Linked DNA regions of Saccharomyces cerevisiae S288C. The gene in region 1 interacts genetically with each later gene. Each region holds a gene or a part of one and is shown in the gene's direction. Other genes may lie near its edges. The genes, in order: CIT2, AGC1, YAT1 and RAS1.

What was found.
Region 2: of CIT2 (region 1) and AGC1, changing one enhances a phenotype caused by changing the other (phenotypic enhancement), as found in Saccharomyces cerevisiae (one study listed by BioGRID).
Region 3: mutations in CIT2 (region 1) and YAT1 impair growth when combined (synthetic growth defect), as found in Saccharomyces cerevisiae (one study listed by BioGRID).
Region 4: of CIT2 (region 1) and RAS1, extra expression of one rescues a mutant of the other (dosage rescue), as found in Saccharomyces cerevisiae (one study listed by BioGRID).

The regions. Positions count from the first base shown.
Region 1 is NC_001135.5:119,371-125,215, reverse strand, and holds CIT2 (citrate (Si)-synthase CIT2), read left to right. Parts: upstream 1-2,887; coding exon 2,888-4,270; downstream 4,271-5,845. Other genes in the region: YCR006C (uncharacterized protein), read left to right, coding at 2,213-2,686; YCP4 (flavodoxin-like fold family protein), read left to right, coding at 4,898-5,641. UniProt on the Saccharomyces cerevisiae protein: Peroxisomal citrate synthase involved in the citrate homeostasis. Catalyzes the condensation of acetyl coenzyme A and oxaloacetate to form citrate. Citrate synthase is the rate-limiting enzyme of the tricarboxylic acid (TCA) cycle.
Region 2 is NC_001148.4:598,698-605,986, reverse strand, and holds AGC1 (citrin), read left to right. Parts: upstream 1-2,629; coding exon 2,630-5,338; downstream 5,339-7,289. Other genes in the region: SDD4 (Sdd4p), read left to right, coding at 1-2,076; ATP20 (F1F0 ATP synthase subunit g), read right to left, coding at 5,770-6,117; MCM DNA helicase complex subunit MCM4, read right to left, coding at 6,436-7,289. UniProt on the Saccharomyces cerevisiae protein: Calcium-dependent mitochondrial aspartate and glutamate carrier. Transport of glutamate in mitochondria is required for mitochondrial transamination reactions and ornithine synthesis.
Region 3 is NC_001133.9:186,186-192,756, forward strand, and holds YAT1 (carnitine O-acetyltransferase YAT1), read left to right. Parts: upstream 1-4,007; coding exon 4,008-6,071; downstream 6,072-6,571. Other genes in the region: DFP2 (DUP240 family protein), read left to right, coding at 136-360; pheromone-regulated DUP240 family protein PRM9, read left to right, coding at 651-1,547; DUP240 family protein MST28, read left to right, coding at 1,922-2,626; YAR035C-A (uncharacterized protein), read right to left, coding at 6,152-6,232; oxysterol-binding protein related protein SWH1, read left to right, coding at 6,434-6,571. UniProt on the Saccharomyces cerevisiae protein: Involved in the transfer of acetyl-CoA into mitochondria. May also be involved in the metabolism of acetate and of ethanol.
Region 4 is NC_001147.6:512,935-516,673, forward strand, and holds RAS1 (Ras family GTPase RAS1), read left to right. Parts: upstream 1-2,309; coding exon 2,310-3,239; downstream 3,240-3,739. Other genes in the region: alpha-1,2-mannosyltransferase KTR1, read left to right, coding at 1-72; CRC1 (carnitine:acyl carnitine antiporter), read right to left, coding at 361-1,344; OST2 (dolichyl-diphosphooligosaccharide-protein glycotransferase), read right to left, coding at 3,515-3,739. UniProt on the Saccharomyces cerevisiae protein: The S.cerevisiae Ras proteins modulate the activity of the adenylate cyclase catalytic subunit and therefore affect the biosynthesis of cyclic-AMP.

The DNA.
Region 1 (5,845 bases):
TAGTGTGTCACCAAAGGTTGAGAGAAACTGTTTGCTTACTTCTTGGAAACTGCATAAGTTATACTCGAGTCTTACAATTAGTCATTGAATACGACAAAACCACTTCCTCTGCCTTATTTGATTTCTGAAAGCTTAGTGTGCTACGAGAAAAATTTTACAAAGAAATTATTATGAAGCTAAACTACTTCTTTACCATCAAGAACCACTTTTTGTCCCCAGCAAAATTTTCTTAGGCTTTGAGAGGTCCATTGTGCTAACATTACTGTTTCACATAGTTCCCATGTATAAATTAGACCAAATAGCACTAACCTGTAGGTTGTGGAACTTCAAAACTACAAAAATCTTGATGTGTTGATTGTTCGGTCACTTAGAGGATATAATTGAATACTTGCACGATAAGAATCTTAAAACATATAGTGAACAAGAACAAGTGCCGAAATTTAAATCTTTGAACCATGTTGATGTGCCCTTTCTGCTTCATAACGGGAACAACTTCGCTTGCAGCATCCTTGCATTCTTGAAGACGTTCTTACGGTCTATGTAGCATTTTCTCTTAAACCCAAGACATAGCAAAAAACAAGTGTGTATAATTACTTTGGATAATATTTATGAAATCCATACTTATATTAGCCATTTCATGAGGACGGAATACTTCTCAACTAAAAAGCACAACTTGGCAATTATTACAATTTGCGTACCTAATAAACAAGATGCCCGATAATTCCTCACAATTTTATACTAGCTCGAATGTGTTGGAATAAAAATCCACTATCGTCTATCAACTAATAGTTATATTATCAATATATTATCATATACGGTGTTAAGATGATGACATAAGTTATGAGAAGCTGTCATCGAAGTTAGAGGAAGCTGAAGTGTAAGGATTGATAATGTAATAGGATAATGAAACATATAAAACGGAATGAGGAATAATCGTAATATTGGTATATAGAAATATAGATTCCATTATGGGGATTCCTAGACCCTCGAGGAGAACTTCTAGTATATTCTGTATACCTAATATTATAGCCTTTATCAACAATGGAATCCCAACAATTATCTCAACATTCACCCATTTCTCAGAATGAGATATACTTTGAGTAAAAGTGGTGGAGGATATTACTTATGTCCTTGGTAGCATGGGTCAAGATAGTTGTGTTAACTTGTTAATTATTTTTTACTATGCTTCTCAATTAAAGATGAAGTTTAACGAATGGTCTAGACTTATTCTCACAGTTTACCCGGAGGTCATCATTCTCTTTAATGACAATATTTACTCTGTCGTCACTTTCGTAATTGTTTCGTGTCTGTTTCGCAGTCCATTTGGAATGCGACAGTAAGTTAATTACAAGAAGTAGTAACAACAACTTAGCGATAATGTTTCTCATGTGTGACGCAGGGTTACTTTTGACTTAAAACGACCATTTTGCAGTTTTACTTCACGTTCGCAAACTTTCAATAACTGGCTGTTAATCTGGTCGTTAAGAAAAAGGTCAATGACGATGGCAGGGAAAATAGGGCTGTATCCCAGACTTCAGGCGCTGTTCTGCCGGGATTTTTCAAAGGAGGGCGTGTGGTCTAGAGGTATGATTCTCGCTTAGGGTGCGGGAGGTCCCGGGTTCGAGTCCCGGCTCGCCCCACATTGTTTTTACAATGTGTGGTGTCGCTACTGGCAGAAATGGTACGGCATTTATCTTTCCGACGTAAAACAAGTGTACTCAGGAGCAGTTTTTTTTTGCAATATGCTAAAACTCGTACAATAAACCAAGGCGCATGGCATGTTTGAACATTTACTCGTTATTTCGGAGGTTCCTCAGATGGCTGAATGGAGGTACAGATTATGATTTCTAGAAAACTGCAGCGGACTTTACAGAGTAAGCTGGAGAAGACCAATGTTAATGAAAACTTGAACTGCTGAAGTGTGATATTCAATGTATGAGATAATCCATTAAATCATCTACAGTTTAAAGACTGTAGGCTTACATGACCGTTTATCACTGCGATATTGGAGGAAGCGCTTCGGATCAATGGACCTTTTACTTAGCAGAGCGAAGGCTGAAAATCATGAACCCCAACAGCATGTGTGACCTCTCTTCTCACGCCTGGCAAGAAACCAAACTACGGCATACATTCAGCGCACCAAAAAGGAACTCCGTACTATTTACATTAAAAACAAGAAAATGTGTTGCCATTTCCGTAAAATGAATGGCCCATGTTCATACGCGTATGCAACCGTCTTATTTACACTCCGACTAATGTCCTTCTAATTACTGTGGAAGACGGCCGTATAAGCGTCCTTCTGTGGTTTAGATATGCTATACCGGCGGAACTTTGTTACACACGGCTCGCGCGAATCCTTAGGGGAAAACATTGCGCTGACTTTCCCCAGAGTTGTTGCCACAACATAAGCCGCTTTGGAGTGTTGAACAAATCCGTCCTTGGGTCATTCAATCAATGGCTTGGCGGTATCTCAAAAGAGCGCAAACTAATAGCGCGCACATTCGACGCATTTATCCGGTGGTCATCGACTAGGGGCGAAGAGGTCACGACCTATTTTTTCTTGCAGAAAAAAAGTGTGACCTTTTCCGTAGCTAGACGTCTATCAGGGCGTCAGCAATGGGAGGCACAGCGGAAAAACAATAACAATGGTAAGCGCAATTACCTTTTGAGCGTTACATTCGTATGAAATTGGTGACGTTAATCTAAAGATAGTCATGCTCTCAAAAGGGCCCATTATTCTCGACGTTGAGCGTATATAAGACTATTAAAACTTGGTTCTTTAGATATGGTGTTCGTTCCTCATTATTAAGTTTCAGGGAACAATATCAACACATATCATAACAGGTTCTCAAAACTTTTTGTTTTAATAATACTAGTAACAAGAAAAATGACAGTTCCTTATCTAAATTCAAACAGAAATGTTGCATCATATTTACAATCAAATTCAAGCCAAGAAAAGACTCTAAAAGAGAGATTTAGCGAAATCTACCCCATCCATGCTCAAGATGTAAGGCAATTCGTTAAAGAGCATGGCAAAACTAAAATTAGCGATGTTCTATTAGAACAGGTATATGGTGGTATGAGAGGTATTCCAGGGAGCGTATGGGAAGGTTCCGTTTTGGACCCAGAAGACGGTATTCGTTTCAGAGGTCGTACGATCGCCGACATTCAAAAGGACCTGCCCAAGGCAAAAGGAAGCTCACAACCACTACCAGAAGCTCTCTTTTGGTTATTGCTAACTGGCGAGGTTCCAACTCAAGCGCAAGTTGAAAACTTATCAGCTGATCTAATGTCAAGATCGGAACTACCTAGTCATGTCGTTCAACTTTTGGATAATTTACCAAAGGACTTACACCCAATGGCTCAATTCTCTATTGCTGTAACTGCCTTGGAAAGCGAGTCAAAGTTTGCTAAGGCTTATGCTCAAGGAATTTCCAAGCAAGATTATTGGAGTTATACTTTTGAAGATTCACTAGACTTGCTGGGTAAATTGCCAGTTATTGCAGCTAAAATTTATCGTAATGTATTCAAAGATGGCAAAATGGGTGAAGTGGACCCAAATGCCGATTATGCTAAAAATCTGGTCAACTTGATTGGTTCTAAGGATGAAGATTTCGTGGACTTGATGAGACTTTATTTAACCATTCATTCGGATCACGAAGGTGGTAATGTATCTGCACATACATCCCATCTTGTGGGCTCAGCACTATCATCACCTTATCTGTCCCTTGCATCAGGTTTGAACGGGTTGGCTGGCCCACTTCATGGGCGTGCTAATCAAGAAGTACTAGAATGGTTATTTGCACTTAAAGAAGAGGTAAATGATGACTACTCTAAAGATACGATCGAAAAATATTTATGGGATACTCTAAACTCAGGAAGAGTCATTCCCGGTTATGGTCATGCTGTGCTAAGGAAAACTGATCCTCGTTATATGGCTCAGCGTAAGTTTGCCATGGACCATTTTCCAGATTATGAATTATTCAAGTTAGTTTCATCAATATACGAGGTAGCACCTGGCGTATTGACTGAACATGGTAAAACCAAAAATCCATGGCCAAATGTAGATGCTCACTCTGGTGTCTTATTACAATATTATGGACTAAAAGAATCTTCTTTCTATACCGTTTTATTTGGCGTTTCAAGGGCATTTGGTATTCTTGCTCAATTGATCACTGATAGGGCCATCGGTGCTTCCATTGAAAGGCCAAAGTCCTATTCTACTGAGAAATACAAGGAATTGGTCAAAAACATTGAAAGCAAACTATAGTTGGATTACATCCTACTTTTACACCCCTCTGCATATTTTTCTTTCCTCATGACCATTTAGTATTTAGCACTTATTTAATACAATAATATATTCTTTTAACCATACACTATGATAATGATATTTATAATTAAGAAAATGAACGTTACTATTTCCTTCCTCGTTTTAGTTACATAAAATTTACTAATGGTTGGAAAATTGCGGAAGCTATCACGCGATAACTAGGTACACACGCATTATTTTTATAATCCCATTATTAATAAATCCGTTATGACCCTTTTAGTAATAACTTATTAAGAACCTCCGGGTAAAATACTGTACTGCGGGGAAAGAAGGCGCTTCCCCTTCTTGGAACTTAATATAAATAATAAATTTGCCTAAGGGCATTAGGCCTTACTGCCTTGGCTAGCGTACTTATTTCGATTCATACAATTTGCACTATTCCGGCAGCTAGTTGATACTATAACATCCTACATTTTTACTTGTTTTACGTTCATTTTTATTTGAAGTTTGTAAACTTTATCAGAAAGAAAACAAGAAGAGGAAAAAGGAAAAGAGGGGTCAGGTTAGTATCAATAAAAAAAAAGAGAGTAAACAAAACAATACAGACTCAATTGAAGCACTATAAGAATGGTAAAGATTGCGATAATTACTTACTCTACCTACGGGCACATAGACGTTTTAGCCCAAGCTGTTAAGAAAGGTGTGGAGGCAGCTGGTGGTAAAGCTGATATATACAGGGTCGAGGAAACTTTACCTGATGAAGTCCTCACCAAGATGAACGCTCCTCAGAAACCTGAAGATATTCCTGTTGCCACTGAGAAAACGTTGCTCGAATATGACGCCTTTTTGTTCGGTGTTCCAACTAGGTTTGGTAATTTGCCGGCTCAATGGTCCGCCTTTTGGGATAAAACCGGTGGATTATGGGCCAAGGGCTCTTTGAACGGCAAAGCTGCGGGGATATTCGTTAGTACTTCCAGTTACGGAGGTGGTCAAGAAAGTACCGTTAAAGCCTGTTTGTCTTATTTAGCTCATCACGGAATTATCTTTTTACCACTGGGTTATAAGAATTCATTTGCTGAGTTAGCCAGTATAGAAGAGGTACACGGTGGCTCTCCATGGGGTGCTGGTACCCTTGCAGGACCTGACGGCTCAAGAACTGCGTCTCCACTTGAATTGAGAATTGCTGAAATTCAAGGTAAAACATTCTACGAAACCGCCAAAAAACTTTTCCCTGCAAAAGAAGCCAAGCCCTCCACTGAAAAGAAGACCACTACTTCTGATGCGGCTAAGAGACAAACTAAACCTGCAGCAGCTACAACTGCAGAAAAGAAGGAGGACAAAGGATTATTATCCTGCTGTACTGTCATGTAAGAAACAACAGTTCGCGTCTAATATTTAGTTCTTACTAACATTAATTCTATCTCAGCAGATATATCAATGTAGGACGTTGGAAAATTAATAAAGAATTAACTCTTTTTATTTTATTTTTTCCTTTTTATATTAAAAGTATATTTCTGTAAGTCCTTGTACTAATAATATCATTTCCTAATATTTTGAAATATAGTTGTTTTTTGT
Region 2 (7,289 bases), on another chromosome or scaffold:
GATTCAGGAGTAGGAAACAATTCCTCTCTGAACTACAAGGAACAGTTGCGTCACTCTATGAAAAGTGTCCCGTCATTTTTCCATCCGGATCCCTTAACAAAGTATAAGATATCAAAAGAAAAATGTCAAGAAATGTTTTCATTTGTTCCAGAATTACGCTATGTCTCTATTGAATCTATACACAAATCGTTAAAATCCTTCTGGTTGAACTTCCATCCACAATACGGTCTGCTTCACAAACCCTCTTTTCACGTTGATAAACAGCCTGCAATTTTGAATTTGGCACTAATTATGACTGGCGCAAGTTTTTTGGGAAGCGAGTATCGTGAACAGATTAGTGACCCAATTTGTGGTCCTCTAAGATGGATAATTTTTTCTCATGCTGATTTTCAACCACCTTCTAAAACCTACATCATTCAAAGTTTATTATTAGTCGAAGGATATGAAAAAACAAGTACGAACAGGTATTTACATGAAAGGTCTTTTTTACATCACGGAACGACCATTCAATTGCTAAGGCGAACGCCCTCTTTAGGCGGCCATCCCTTAATGGTCAAAACCGGCAAAACCTCTGGGGAAAATTCAATTCAAGACCCACAAGAAGTTTATAAAAGATGGATTGATTTTGAAATGTTGAAAAGAATAGCTTTCTACGCATTTTATATGGACACTACACATGCTGTAGTGTTTGGATACTGGAATTTATTTATTAATAGCAATCAGATTCAACTAACTTTACCCTGTCCAGATCAAGTGTGGGAATCTTATGATTTGAGCTATGAAACTCTGATGGAGCATGGGTATGGCAGCACAAAGAGAGATGAGAATAATACATTTTTGTCTGCGTTAATGCAATTAATGAAAAATGTCATTCAAATCTTACGAAATAATAATATACGGAGAAACAAAGTCAACAATGGTGGAATAGAGAGTACCCCTACAGACTTGGAAAGCACTACAGATTGGAATATTCAGAGTCTTTTTGGTAAAAAGATTCTTTTGGCGGGGATAATTTCGATCTTATTTCAATGTCAAGAGGAAGTTAATGGTGACTATTTCATTACTAACTTTAGGGGCGGAATCACTGATCATTTAGGCCTTTCATGGAAAGATATTTTATCATTTGCAATGAACTATTGGCTTCACGAAGTTCAGAAAAGCTGCACTGATCCGAAAGCATGTAGGATAAGTACTCCATCTGAGGAGACACTAACGAACAGAAAAATTGACGAGGATAATGGAGATGGACTATGTGATGATGATTTGGACTTGCTTTCCTCCGATAATCCGTCAAATTGTAAAATTCCCGTTATTCATATCTCTCAAATTGTCCTACGTATTCTTCATCATGATTATTACATATATGCAGGAGCACCTTGGAGAATGAATGTACCAATTGGTCGCGATGAATATGACATGATCAGTCGCAGGATTCTCCAGTTCGCTAAGGACCCCTACAATGGGGGTGTAGCTGTAGTCTATGCCTTCCAGTTCTTATTTGAAATGTTTATCATTAAGGAAAATAACGTTCCAACCGTAGTGAAGAGCTACAATATAAATTCTGATCCTGTGATTACTAGACCCTATGCGATTGCATTAACTTCACTCCTAATTTGGTCTTGTAATTTTGCATTACATGGCTGTGAAGTTAGCATATGGGATAATACAGAAGCCTCAAAGGATGAATGCTTTCAACCAGATGACAGCAATGGTGGAAACATTCTAGGCAATACTGATAATAATGGATCGACGATTGCAAACAACAATTTAAAGGAAAAGAACAATTACATTCCAATAGAAAGTTTTGAAGTTTACCTATTGAGAATGTATCGGAACTTATATGTGGATAGCTCACTCGATGTAGTTAGCTTTCAGAATGACGTTTGGGCAAAAGCGAGTTTACTTCAACATATTTCTAATACCCACTTTCTATGCGGGATGATGCAGTTTATGAGAGATATTTTCAACAAGAGCTACTGGGATTTAGGGCGCGAATTCGGAAAACTCTTCGATAATTGTTTGGAAAGGAGCCTAGGGAAAACGTCACCCACTTGTCATAACATGTTTGATGTTTAGTTTATATTCGTATATTGGTAAATCATCATATTTATTGTTAGATTAATGAAATGGTTATGAAAACATTTGTAAACTGCCAGCTGTGAAATTGTTAAATAAAATCGACACTGTATATAATTGCGCTTCATATTTTACATGTAAGTATGATCTATGTTTTACGTAGGAGAAAGAGCTTTCTTTATTGGTCATCCCACTGCAAGCGGTTATGAAAAATTTCTGCAGCATCGCTTTAGGGGAGTACTGCCGGCATGTTGGAAAAACATCTCGAAACATATATTGAATCTCAGAATTAACCAGTATTCGAAGCAAAGAAAAAAATATTTCGAAGATAGATAAATACCTCAAGACGAACCTGTCTTTTATATGTTAAGATTTGATATCTAATCTCACCAGACTTTCAAGTTTTATCTCACAACCTCGCGTTTGCCATAATTTTCGAAGTAGCCTGATCCCTTCTTTGTGAACATATTTCACTGGAAAAGTACATAACTTTCATAGCGTAGTTTGAAAGTATGCAGCTTTGCTACCGACCTTAAAGAATTATTATACTATTATGGAGCAAATCAATTCGAACAGTAGAAAAAAGAAGCAACAATTGGAAGTATTCAAATATTTTGCAAGTGTCCTTACAAAAGAGGACAAGCCTATTAGTATCAGTAATGGTATGTTAGATATGCCGACAGTGAACTCCAGTAAACTCACAGCAGGAAATGGGAAACCTGACACGGAGAAGCTTACAGGAGAACTAATTTTAACATACGACGATTTCATTGAACTGATATCTAGCTCAAAGACTATTTATTCGAAGTTTACGGACCATTCGTTCAATTTGAACCAGATACCCAAGAACGTTTTCGGGTGTATTTTCTTCGCTATTGATGAACAAAACAAGGGATATCTGACGCTTAATGATTGGTTTTATTTTAATAATTTATTAGAATATGATAATTATCATCTCATTATTCTATATGAGTTCTTTAGGAAATTTGATGTAGAGAATTTGAAGGCAAAACAAAAAAAAGAGCTTGGTAGTTCGTCGTTTAATTTAAAGGCTGCAGATGATCGAATTAAGTCAATTAATTATGGTAACAGATTTCTAAGCTTTGATGATCTTCTTTTGAATCTGAACCAATTCAAAGATACTATCCGCCTGTTGCACGAATCTATTGATGATAATTTTGTTAAAGATAACAAATTACTACTTGATTGGAATGACTTTCGATTTCTGAAATTTTACAAATGTTATCATGAAAATGAAGAGTATTTGAGTTTAAACTCTCTGGTCACGATTTTACAAAATGATCTTAAGAATGAAAAAATATTTATAGGTTTTGATAGGTTGGCACAGATGGACTCACAAGGGCATCGTTTAGCCCTAAGCAAAAATCAACTCACCTATCTTCTAAGGTTATTTTACTCTCACAGGGTGTCTGCAGATATATTTTCCTCCTTGAATCTATCAAACACCGAATTACTAAAAGCGGACAATAATTCCATTCCGTACAATGTATTCAAGGATATATTTTATTTATTTCAAAATTTTGACCTACTGAACCAAATATTTCACAAGTATGTTACTGAAAATAATTTGAATGAGCAGGATATTAGGGAACAAATAGTTACTAAAAATGACTTTATGACAGTTTTAAACGCCCAGTATAACAAAGTAAACAATATCATTGAGTTCTCTCCTTCCCAAATCAACCTACTATTTTCTATCGTCGCAAATTCAAAGGAAAACAGAAGATTAAGAAAGAGAAATCAAGATCGAGATGACGAGCTATTAAATGATCACCATTATGATTCAGATATTGATTTTTTTATCCATAATGAGTATTTGCATGGAGTAAGCAGATCCAGAAAAAATTTAGAAAGTTTTAATGACTATTATCATGATCTCTCGGATGGATTTGACCAAGACTCTGGTGTTAAAAAAGCTTCAAAAGCGAGTACTGGCTTGTTTGAATCTGTATTTGGAGGTAAAAAAGATAAAGCAACGATGCGTTCTGACTTAACAATTGAAGATTTCATGAAAATTTTGAACCCAAATTACCTGAACGACTTAGTTCACCAAATGGAATTGCAAAAAAATCAAAATGAGTCATTGTATATTAATTACTACTTTTATCCAATTTTCGATTCGTTGTACAATTTCTCCTTGGGTTCTATTGCGGGTTGTATTGGTGCAACTGTAGTATACCCAATAGACTTTATAAAAACAAGGATGCAAGCCCAAAGATCTTTAGCCCAATACAAAAACTCAATTGATTGTTTGTTGAAGATTATATCCCGCGAAGGAATAAAAGGTCTCTACTCTGGCTTAGGGCCACAATTAATAGGAGTTGCTCCTGAAAAGGCGATAAAATTGACTGTCAATGATTTTATGAGAAACAGGTTGACTGATAAAAACGGCAAGCTAAGCCTTTTTCCTGAAATTATTTCTGGCGCTTCAGCTGGTGCATGTCAAGTTATATTTACTAATCCGTTAGAGATTGTAAAAATTAGGCTACAGGTCCAATCCGACTATGTTGGTGAAAACATACAACAAGCCAATGAAACTGCCACTCAAATAGTCAAAAAATTAGGACTGAGGGGCTTGTACAATGGTGTAGCCGCATGTTTAATGAGAGATGTTCCATTCTCTGCTATTTATTTTCCCACTTATGCACATTTAAAAAAAGATCTCTTTGATTTTGATCCAAATGATAAAACAAAGAGGAATCGATTAAAAACATGGGAGCTTTTAACTGCCGGTGCCATTGCTGGTATGCCAGCTGCCTTCTTGACTACTCCTTTTGATGTTATAAAAACAAGGCTCCAGATAGATCCTCGAAAAGGTGAGACAAAGTATAACGGTATATTTCATGCTATCCGAACTATCTTAAAGGAAGAGAGCTTTAGAAGCTTTTTCAAAGGTGGTGGAGCCCGTGTCCTAAGAAGTTCTCCCCAATTTGGGTTCACTCTGGCCGCCTATGAATTATTCAAGGGCTTTATTCCCTCCCCCGATAACAAATTAAAAAGCAGAGAGGGTAGGAAGAGATTTTGTATCGATGACGACGCAGGCAATGAAGAGACAGTAGTTCATAGTAACGGTGAACTCCCACAGCAAAAGTTTTACTCTGATGATAGAAAACATGCCAATTATTACTATAAAAGCTGTCAAATTGCGAAAACATTCATTGATTTGGACAATAACTTTTCTAGGTTTGACTCTTCAGTTTATAAAAACTTTCAAGAGCACCTAAGAAGCATTAACGGGTGATTTATTTTCTTCGTCAGTTTCTCTGTACATATATATGTATATATTTACTTATTATAATTCATAGCAAAATATATGTTTTTTTTTTTTTCTTATAGTGAGAAAAATTACTAATGATCCTGAGATCAATTTCACTGTAGTTTTTACTATAGTGCAACAAGTATGTTGTTCTTAATAAGTGTAATGAAAGCTCTGAGGTCAAGTTTTCTTTTTTACAGAAAAGTTATATTGGCCTATTTCATAAATAACTGGCGGCAAGAAGCTAATGTAATATAACTCGATATCGCTTTTAATGCCATTGTATGTCATGAAAAGAAAATAAATAGAATTGAGATGAATATATATTCTTTTTTCTAGTTTTGTTCTATTTGTACATTGATTTAATTTAATTAACGAATATACAAGGGTTTTGCGAATAGATAGAATTAAAAAGCTTAGTGATGTTTATATCCCACTAATTTTCTTCTTCCAATTATTTCACCGACAGAATAAAACCCTATCAACTGAATACCATATGCGCCATATTTTAATAGTTCATTCTTTTGGATGTTTTTTAAACACGATAAAACTTCTGTAGGCTTTAGAGCAAAGTTTAGGCTCTGCTTATAAAGGTTCGAATACACTGATTTGAACTGGGCAACAGTTGGTGGTTGAAGACCCTCTTTTAAATAAATCTGTTTTGAAATCTCGGCACCGACTTTACCATAGTATAAAGCCTTTGATGACAAAAGATTTGCTTTAGAAACCAACCCACTGGTATAATTTTGGATCCTGCTTAGCATGATGAATTGATTAGCGTTCTGAAATATGATTTATCGGCAGGTTTATCTTGTCGATTTGGACTGGAGTAGAAAATATGAGGGATCTTTGCATCTTCATTTTTCGGTCTTTAAATGTAATCATCCTTCGGGATAAATTTAGTGCGTTTAACAATATTTTCTTTCAGCCAATCAGGAATAAGAAAAAAGCCGCCCACTCAATCGAGCCTACATACAGTATTGAATAGTGTTACAAAGCATAAGGATGTAAAAAATACAAACTTGCTATAATTAATTAGTATTTATTAATTGTTACGCAGGGAATGATTGTAGTAGACAGCATCAGACACGGTTATTCAGGCGAACTGATCTCCTTACACCCTCGCCAAGGACAATGACCTTGTCCTCTTGTTGCAATCTTGACAAGGCTTCCTGGATATCAGAAGACTCAACTCTATCTTGAGAGTGTTCATTGATTTGTTTTATAAGCTCATTGAATGACATTGAGTCTGATGCCTGATCCTTCAAAACATTCATAATTTCCCTTGACAAATCCTCCTGTAGTTTTCTCTGAATAACTGATTTACCTGTTTGAACTAAATTCATGTCGATTTTACCGGTTTTAGGGTCTGTTGCATAATCTTTTATGGCTGATCTAATTAATCTAACGGCTTCTTGAACATCCTCCAGCTCTACGACGTTTTTCAATTTCATTTTGGCGTGCGCCTCAGCCAAACGAATCATACTTTCAAGTTGTCTTGTGGTAGCTGTGATTCTCTTCTCATCGGATCTCGAATCGTCACCCATCTTTCTCATTCCTACATAAGCACGAACAAGCTCAGTCTTAGCGGCCTCGGTGATTATTGGGTGTATGTGCTCCTTTGCATAACTAATATACATCGTTAAAAATTCAACTGGTAGCACGTCGTCTTGAGAAATATGTTCGGGCTTATCTTCCAGGTAAAGATTTGTTAAGTGTTTGGCTAGTTCTCTGTCATTTTTCTCATCAACCTTATCAAGGACAAGATAGACCAGATCGAATCTCGAAAGTAGTGGGGGCGGTAGATCAATATTTTCAGTCACAGGCAAATTGGGGTTGTAGCGTGAACCAATTGGGTTAGCACTGGCCAAAATAGAACTTCTGGCATTAAGTGTTGTGATAATTCCCGCTTTTGCGATTGAAATAGTCTGCTGTT
Region 3 (6,571 bases), on another chromosome or scaffold:
ATCTCATGTCCCTTCTATCCTCTTTTTTCATCTCCGGGACAGACCGACAATAAAGCATCTAATATTAGGCTTTCGTTAGAGGTAAGCACACGCCAGCGTTCGGTGAAAGGGGAATGAAACATTATCACGTACAAGATGAATAAATATCTATTTGACCATAAAATATGGAGTACTCCTTACTACTTTTATTGCGAAGAAGATTGCCACCGTCTTTTTCTAAGTTTTATTGAGGGAAGAACTTTCGAGAAGCCAACAAGCAACGCTGAGGAAAATGTACAGGAGACTGAAGCTGGCGAATCTTTCACATTAAATCCCGGAGAAGATTTTCAAAATTGCTTTCCAAGACAGCGGATATTGTAGAACAATCTCAAGTGAAGTATTGGCAAGATATTGGTGCAATTATTTGAAAGGAAGGAGAAATATTCTGACAGTACCTTGCTAGCAAAGGGATTTACCAATCCACTGACGCTAAAATGGGGTAGTAAATTAGATAAATTGCATTCTAACGTGACTTTATATAGTGGGAAACAGATATGTAGCACACAAAACGGCATGATTATGCTTAATTGATTCCTATTTTTTAACGTAAATACTCTCCCAGAACGATCAGAAAACTTAACCCGCAACCATCTTTGCTGTGCTAACAACTTATGTCGCCTCAATACCATTTTTATTTTGTATCATTCCGGAACTTAGTATTGAATGAAAAATGCCTCCGAAGTAAAAAGCAGGTGATGAAAAGTTTCAATTGGTATAAGACAGATCGCTATTTTGATCCGCATAACATCCTTCAACACCATAGCAGAGCTATAGAGAAGACAAGATATAAACTGGGCATGCAAACATCTTCAGAAAGTACCGACGCCAAGTCGGATTTTCTCGACGAACCCAGTGCATATTTAATTGAGAAAAATGTGGCTCTTCCCAAGGACATATTCGGTTCGTACTTAAGTTATTGGATATATGAAGTTACTCGTCATAAAGCGGCAGTAATTTTGCTCGTACTTATTGTGACTTCAATTTTATTATTAGTGTTTTTTTATAATACGGAATTTTGCGTTGCCTTTGAGATACTATTGTTTTCCTTTTGCTTTCCAGGAACATGCATGGTTGTAATTGCATTTAGTGAACCGATCGGTGATCGGGAATTTAAAGTTAAGCTTCTGATGGAAATTATCACACGTAAACCGGCGGTAAAGGGGAAAGAATGGAGGACAATTACATACAAGATGAACCAGTATTTATTTGATCATGGGCTATGGGATACTCCCTACTACTTTTACCGTGATGAAGATTGCCACCGTTATTTTCTAAGTCTTATTAAGGGAAGAACTTTCAAGAAGCAAAAGGAATCGTCAGCCAGCAATGTTAAAGACGCACAATCAAATGACGAAACCGCTGGCACACCAAACGAAGCCGCTGAGTCTTCTAGTTTTAGTGCCGGACCGAACTTTATAAAGCTCCTCACCAAGGCAGCCGAAATCGAACAACAATTTCAAAAGGAATATTGGCGACAAGAGTATCCTGGTGTCGATGAGTTTTTTTAGACAGAAGACGGGAGACACTAGCACACAACTTTACCAGGCAAGGTATTTGACGCTAGCATGTGTCCAATTCAGTGTCATTTATGATTTTTTGTAGTAGGATATAAATATATACAGCGCTCCAAATAGTGCGGTTGCCCCAAAAACACCACGGAACCTCATCTGTTCTCGTACTTTGTTGTGACAAAGTAGCTCACTGCCTTATTATCACATTTTCATTATGCAACGCTTCGGAAAATACGATGTTGAAAATGCCTCTAGAGATGAAAAACAATCGTAAAAGGGTCCTGCGTAATTGAAACATTTGATCAGTATGCAGTGGCACAGAAACAACCAGGAATACTATAGTCATAGGCAATACAAGGTATATATTGGCTATGCAGACCCCTCCAGAAAGTACCGACGTCAAGTTAGATACACTTAACGAACCTAGTGCACATTTAATTGAGAAAAATGTGGCTCTTCCTAAGGACATATTCCGTTCGTACTTGAGTTATTGGATCTATGAAATCGCTCGCTATACACCAGTCATGATTTTGTCCCTGGTAATAGGGGTTTTGGTTTTATTAATTATATTTTTTAATGACAACGAAGCTTGTGTTTTCAATTCTGCAATATTTGCTTTTACTTCTCTTGTAGGTTTGTTAATAATATTAAGTGATGGTAATCCAAAGCTAGTCAGTCGTCGAAATTTTAGGACCGAGCTTTTAGTGGATGTCATCACACGTAAACCGGCGGTAGAAGGGAAAGAATGGAGGATCATCACATACAACATGAACCAATATTTGTTTAATCATGGGCAATGGCATACTCCGTATTACTTTTACAGCGATGAGGATTGCTACCGTTATTTTCTACGCCTTGTTGAGGGAGTAACCCCCAAGAAGCAAACAGCCACGTCAATTGGCAATTCTCCGGTCACCGCTAAGCCTGAAGATGCCATCGAGTCAGCTTCTCCTAGTTCCAGACTGAATTATCAAAACTTTTTGCTCAAGGCAGCGGAGATCGAACGACAAGCTCAGGAAAATTACTGGCGAAGGCGGCATCCCAATATCGATGCGCTTCTTAAAAAGACGGAATAGCTTAGAGACACTACCATACGTAAAGCGAACATAAACTAGAGTATGATATATAATCAGCACTAACTGGCCGGAAAACGGCCGAAGGAAGCCTCGAAAAGTCGATTCGTGTTGGACCCATTTGCTGAACAAAGTGGTTCATTGCCTACCTATTATGGTAGTAGTCGTGATAATCGTGTGGTTGGTTTTGTCAACGGTGCATTTGCATTTTCATGACAATAAACCTTGCGTTTTCGTTCTCGGGATATTACTTTCCCTCCACTTCTTTCGCCTCAATAGCTCCTATAAGCATTCTCAGGGCGTATGTCGGTGATCGAGATTTCCAAGCAAGCTTTTAGTGGAAATCATCGCGCGCAAGCCAGCGGTAAAGGGAAAAGAACGGAGGACGATTACATACAAGATGAACGAATAAATAAATTAATAATAAATAATAATAAAAAGTACAGTAGCATTAAATATTATTAAGTTTAATGATTAAAAATTGGTTAATTGTCAAGAAAATCTAAGGTATTAATAAATAAATAATACTATGACAACTTGCAGCGAAAGCATCAGCCCCAATGAAAATTAATCAGAATTGAATCTGAGCGTATTTATTTGATAACGGTTTACGTAACTGTTGGAATAAAAATCAACTATCATCTACTAACTAGTGTTTACGTTACTAGTATATTATCATATACGGTGTTAGAAGATGACGCAAATGATGAGAAATAGTCATCGTTTTCAACGGAAGCTGAAATACAAGGATTGATAATGTAATAGGATCAATGAATATCAACATATAAAACGATGATAATAATATTTATAGAATTGTGTAGAATTGCAGATTCCCTTTTATGGATTCCTAAATCCTCGAGAAGAACTTCTAGTATATCTACGTACCTAATATTATTGCCTTATTAAAAATGGAATCCCAACAATTATCTCAAAATTCCCCCAATTCTCATCAGTAACACCCCACCCCGTATTACTTTTACCGTGATGAAGATTGGCATCGTTACTTTCTAAACGTAGGACGTGCGGAATGACAAAACCATCAGCAGTGTCACGATCTCTCCAGTCACAATGGCAATCATGAGTGCATAGTCCAAAGTAAAGGGGCAAGGAAAAGCATGATTGAAAGGACTCCCCATCTGGACTCTATATGTCATCAGCGGCTAAAAAAAAGCATATAGCACAACATCAGCATCAGCATCAGCACTAGAGTCATCGGCCCGGCGGTCCGCGGTCATCCCCGCGGACTTTCCGTCCGCCCGGCGGGCTGTATCAGCGTCAACTGGAACGCGCATATATATACAAGACACACATAACATAGAAGCACACCCACGACAATAACCACACGACAATAACCACACCCGCCCACCCCTCCTTTCCGTATACAATGCCAAACTTAAAGAGACTACCCATCCCGCCACTGCAGGACACGCTCAACCGCTACCTGGCACGCGTGGAACCCCTGCAGGACGAGCGCCAAAACCGCCGTACGCGCCGCACTGTGCTCTCCGCAGAAAACCTGGACGCATTGAACACGCTGCACGAGCGGCTGCTAGAATACGACGCACGGCTCGCGGAAAGCAACCCAGAGTCCTCATACATCGAGCAGTTCTGGTATGACGCGTACTTGCTATATGATGCAACTGTCGTTCTCAACGTCAACCCGTACTTCCAACTGCAGGACGACCCAACCATCAAAGACACACCAGAGACGGCGGCACAGGGCCCCTATGGCGCACACACGGTGCAGGTTCGTCGTGCCGCACGACTCACCACCTCTATTCTCAAGTTCATCCGCCAGATTCGCCACGGCACACTCCGCACAGACACTGTGCGCGGCAAAACGCCGCTGTCGATGGACCAGTATGAGCGGCTATTCGGCTCCAGTAGAATCCCTCCGGGTCCCGGCGAGCCCTCTTGCCACTTGCAAACAGACGCCACGTCGCATCACGTGGTGGCGATGTATCGTGGCCAGTTCTACTGGTTCGACGTGCTGGACACACGCAACGAGCCCATCTTCGCCACCCCAGAACAACTGGAGTGGAACCTCTACTCGATCATCATGGACGCGGAATCCGCCGGAAGCGGATCCGCGCCCTTTGGCGTGTTCACCACAGAGTCGCGCCGGGTGTGGTCCAACATCAGGGACTATCTGTTCCATGCGGACGACTGCACCAACTGGCGCAATCTCAAGCTGATCGACTCCGCGCTGTTCGTGGTCTGTCTCGACGACGTGGCGTTTGCCGCCGATCAGCAGGACGAGCTCACGCGTTCGATGCTGTGCGGGACTTCTACCATCAATCTCGACCCGCACCAACACCAGCCGCCATTGAACGTGCAGACAGGCACCTGTCTCAACCGCTGGTACGACAAGTTACAACTGATCGTGACCAAGAACGGTAAGGCGGGCATCAACTTCGAACACACCGGTGTGGACGGCCACACTGTGCTGCGGCTCGCCACAGACATCTACACAGACTCGATCCTGAGCTTCGCACGCGGTGTCACCAAGAACGTCGTCGACATCTTTAGCGACGACGATGGAAAACCATCGTCGTCGTCGTTGGCCTCGGCGGCTCACTCCGCCAACTTGATCACCATCCCTCGTAAACTGGAATGGCGCACTGACAATTTCCTGCAATCGTCGCTGCACTTTGCCGAGACGCGCATCTCGGACTTGATCTCGCAATACGAGTTTGTTAATCTTGACTTCTCCAACTACGGCGCGTCCCATATCAAGACAGTGTTCAAGTGCTCGCCAGACGCCTTCGTGCAGCAGGTGTTCCAGGTCGCATACTTCGCGTTGTACGGTCGCTTCGAGACCGTGTACGAGCCTGCCATGACCAAGGCGTTCCAAAACGGCCGCACAGAGGCCATCCGCTCCGTCACGGGCCAATCGAAGCTCTTTGTCAAGTCACTACTGGACCAGGATGCCTCGGACGCCACCAAAATTCAGCTCTTGCACGACGCCTGTACGGCGCACTCGCAAATCACAAGGGAATGCTCCCAGGGGCTCGGCCAGGACCGTCACTTGTATGCGCTCTACTGCCTCTGGAACCAATGGTACAAGGACAAGTTGGAGCTCCCACCCATCTTCCGCGACAAGTCCTGGACTACCATGCAGAACAACGTCTTGAGCACCTCCAACTGCGGTAACCCCTGCCTCAAGAGCTTCGGGTTCGGGCCTGTCACCGCCAACGGCTTCGGCATCGGCTACATCATCAGAGACCACTCCGTCTCTGTGGTGGTGTCCTCAAGGCATCGCCAGACTGCTCGGTTTGCGTCGCTCATGGAAAAGTCGCTGCTGGAGATCGACCGCATCTTCAAACGGCAGCAAGCTCGCGCAGCAAAACCCGCTGCCAGGACCACTGCTAGCGCCAACACCAAATCAGAAGACATGAAATACCTGTTGTCCGGCTACGATTACTTCGACGTGAGCGTGTCCGGTTGAGTTTATGCTGAGTTTTTGCGCATCAATATTATTTTTACTACTACTACTACTACTACTACTACTACATACTATTAAATATACTAAATAAGAGGAAAACGCTTTGGAAGTGACTGGCGCCGCCGCTGGCTACTATAATAGCAGCGACTGTAATTTAATCTCATCCCGTCGTTTGGATTACCTCTTTTACTCGCCGAGCGAACGTGCACCAAAAAGGGAAAGGAAAAAAAGAAAAAAAAAGGAAAAAGGAAACTCAAAACTTGGATAAATAGAAGCACTCAAACTAAATTAAACTGCCAAAAAAAAAAAAAATAAAAAGGGAAAAGTTTAAACATCAAAGTACACCTTTCACCCCTCCACACACCATGGAACAACCTGATCTATCGTCTGTGGCCATCAGTAAGCCGCTGCTGAAGTTGAAACTTCTCGACGCCCTTCGCCAGGGAAGTTTCCCCAACCTACAAGATCTCCTAAAGAAACAATTCCAGCCGCTAGACGACCCA
Region 4 (3,739 bases), on another chromosome or scaffold:
TCATGTACTACTAAATTCTACAATATAAACAAGTTGCCAAAGCCTGCTGGTTGGCAAAACCATATCGGTTGATTATACTGTAATCAGCCCACGTTGTCTTTGTATTTTCCACTTTTTTTATTTATACTATTTAAAGAAACAGAATAAATTATAACTCTTTTTTTTACATATCACATTTATATTTACTCCATTGCGTTACAAATATGAACGCTTCGACAACAACGCCAAGGAAACCGGGATAACCCAACTGATATTTTCTACCATACACTGAACGAAATTGCAGAACCAAAAAATAACAAAAAGTTCCCAAAAGGAATGCCAGAAAAAAATGGGAGGCAGGTCCACCTAACAAAAATTTAATCATATGCCATACTTCTTGAACAGTGAATGAGTCATCTCCACACCTAAAAATGTGGCCGCATTGGCTGGGAAAGATCTTAGTAAAGCAGGACCTAAACCAGGGAAAAATCCCTTGATACCACCTCTTTGTAGATAAATTTCCTTTGTGGCGGAAAGCATATTCTGCCTCGTGGAGGAAGCCTGCAATTTTGTCTTTATAGTGTCTATGGGGAAAACAGCTAGCCACATCGACATACCAGCAATACCACCAGCAAGACACACGTTCAAGATATTGACCGGTTCATCTTTGCCCGCATCTTGACGAGGTTGCCTACTATTCAAGTAATTTTTTGAAATTTCATAAGATGCAAAATATAGAGCTGAGCCAGGCCCATCTCTTGCTAAAGTGGCTAATGAACCTTTAAATAAAGAAGCTATGCCACCTTCTTTAACAATGGTTTTAGCCGCCTGAATGAAAGAGCCCTTAGAAGATGTTTGCAGGACAACCTTTACTCTTTCCGTTGGCGCAGTCACTAAAGTGGTAGGAATAGCGCTGATAAATCCTGCTGCAGCCATTTGTCCCATAGTTAACTCGTTACTGCCTCCTTGCTTGTTATTAAAAGTAACCAGTTTCTTACCCACATCGTAACCCCAGAAAGAAACAGCGAATATGGGAGTAACACCTAATAAGGGCGGGATAACACCTTTATAGAACCCCTTTACGGAATTGGTAAATAATGTGCCCTTTACTTGAGTTTTTGCTTCTTTTATAATATTTGTAATGGCATGTACCGTGGAATTCGCTTGTCCATTTTGACATCTCACTTTAATCAAATCGAAGGGATGACCCGTAAACACCGCACATACCCCGCCAACTCCACCGGCCACAAATGATTTGATATTTTCGCGTACAGGGTTTGATTTTATAGGTGGACGAGACTTGGTCAAGCTCCCACTCTCTTCTTTCAATAATGAAGATTCTGATAATGAAGTGTCTGAAGACATTACTGACACGATGACGTTTGTGGAGGATAAGAAAGTCGTACAATACGTAGAATCCAAGGAAAACCTGGAATAAAAACACACATAGAGCGCAATTGAATATCGGCTATTTCTACAGTACAAGCGTCTGCCTATATATGCGCTTGAAATATATCTATTTCGACTAAAGGAATTATACCATCATGCATCTTTACTCTTAAATCTCCATTTGTCCACCGACTTATTGCGGCAAGTGGAGATCCAGTCACGCCGGATGACTGGGTGTAGATAAATAGCCGCCCAACTGATCCCTGCATAAAGCTTATATGCGGATATTAGGAGCAGTAACCCGATGACATTAAGCGTGTAGCCACAAGGAACTTCACCATTACTCATAGCAGAAAAAGCAGTGACCAAAAAATGGCAGGAATGACTCTTTTCTGTTTCCCCTCATATACACTGAAACATCTCGATATAAAGCATGCCCTTTATTGTACCATCAATGCAATGTAACGGCAAACGAGGCTAGGAATATGTATTACCCGCACTGAATTGCTTCTTCACTTAGCACACCCTTGATCGCTATGTTCTACGCTGCTACCCGTTCGGTAGGGAGTGGCGGGGAAATTCACATTGGCACAATGTAAACCCGTAGGAAAAAAAAAAAGCACGAAGAAAAAAAAAGAAACCAAAAATATTTACTACATGTAAGTCTATGGACATTTGACAACAAACTTTTTCAACTCATCGCAAGATTATGAATTTTTCACGGCTTTTCAGGTTTTTTCCTCCTTTTGTTTTACATTGAAAGGTTTATATTTTATGTCTTTGTATGGTTCTCTTAATTTGGATTCTTTCTTGTACGGTGTCTCTATTATCATCTGTCTTGTTCTTTCTTGCAATGCTTAATTAACTGCTGCCACAATTGACTTCGGTTTGGCTATTTCACGATTGAACAGGTAAACAAAATTTTCCCTTTTTAGAACGACATGCAGGGAAATAAATCAACTATAAGAGAGTATAAGATAGTAGTTGTCGGTGGAGGTGGCGTTGGTAAATCTGCTTTAACAATTCAATTCATTCAATCATACTTTGTGGACGAATATGACCCTACTATCGAAGATTCTTACAGAAAACAAGTTGTCATCGATGACAAAGTATCCATTTTGGACATTCTAGATACTGCTGGACAAGAAGAGTATTCTGCGATGAGAGAACAGTACATGAGGACTGGGGAAGGTTTCCTACTGGTCTATTCCGTCACCTCTAGAAATTCCTTTGATGAGTTACTGTCTTATTATCAGCAAATTCAAAGAGTAAAAGATTCTGACTACATTCCTGTAGTCGTGGTAGGTAACAAATTGGACCTTGAAAATGAAAGACAAGTCTCTTATGAAGACGGGTTACGCCTGGCCAAGCAGTTGAATGCACCCTTTCTAGAAACGTCTGCGAAACAAGCCATCAACGTAGACGAGGCCTTTTATAGCCTTATTCGTTTGGTAAGGGACGACGGTGGGAAATACAATAGCATGAATCGTCAACTGGATAATACGAATGAAATAAGAGATTCGGAGCTAACCTCATCTGCAACAGCGGATAGAGAAAAAAAGAACAACGGGTCTTATGTACTCGATAATTCTTTGACCAATGCTGGCACTGGCTCCAGTTCAAAGTCAGCCGTTAACCATAACGGTGAAACTACTAAACGAACTGATGAAAAGAATTACGTTAATCAAAACAATAACAATGAAGGAAATACCAAGTACTCCAGTAACGGCAACGGAAATCGAAGTGATATTAGTCGTGGTAATCAAAATAATGCCTTAAATTCGAGAAGTAAACAGTCTGCTGAGCCACAAAAAAATTCAAGCGCCAACGCTAGAAAAGAATCTAGTGGTGGTTGTTGTATAATTTGTTGAAAATGATCCTGCTCTCTTGATATGACATGGTTTTGATTGCAAGTCTATTCTTACTTGTTCAATTGGTTTCACCAGCATCTTTTTGTATCCATTTTCCTATGCTGTGTATCTAGTAAAAGAGTTGCTTGCCACCAAACATTAATACTAATGGTTAATCTGCCACCTTTTGTAAGCTTTCTATAATGTACAATTGTAATATGTTCTTTTATTCTCGTACAAAGTATATATACTATACACATACAAGCATGCATGCAAGCACGCCGGCAAACCCTTCCTCAATTTATAAAATGTAAACAAACGAAATGTAAAATCAAACTAGCAACAATAAACTCGGCAAAAGCTCTGTTTTTAGAAATGCCTGGAAAACTATTACACAATTGTAACCGCAAACTCATCAATAGGACGAATTGTCCCACACAAATAATGAATCCCGCTAAAAACGCATTGAATGGAAAATTATCACGGATCAAGATAATGAATGTACACTGGATCACCCCTAA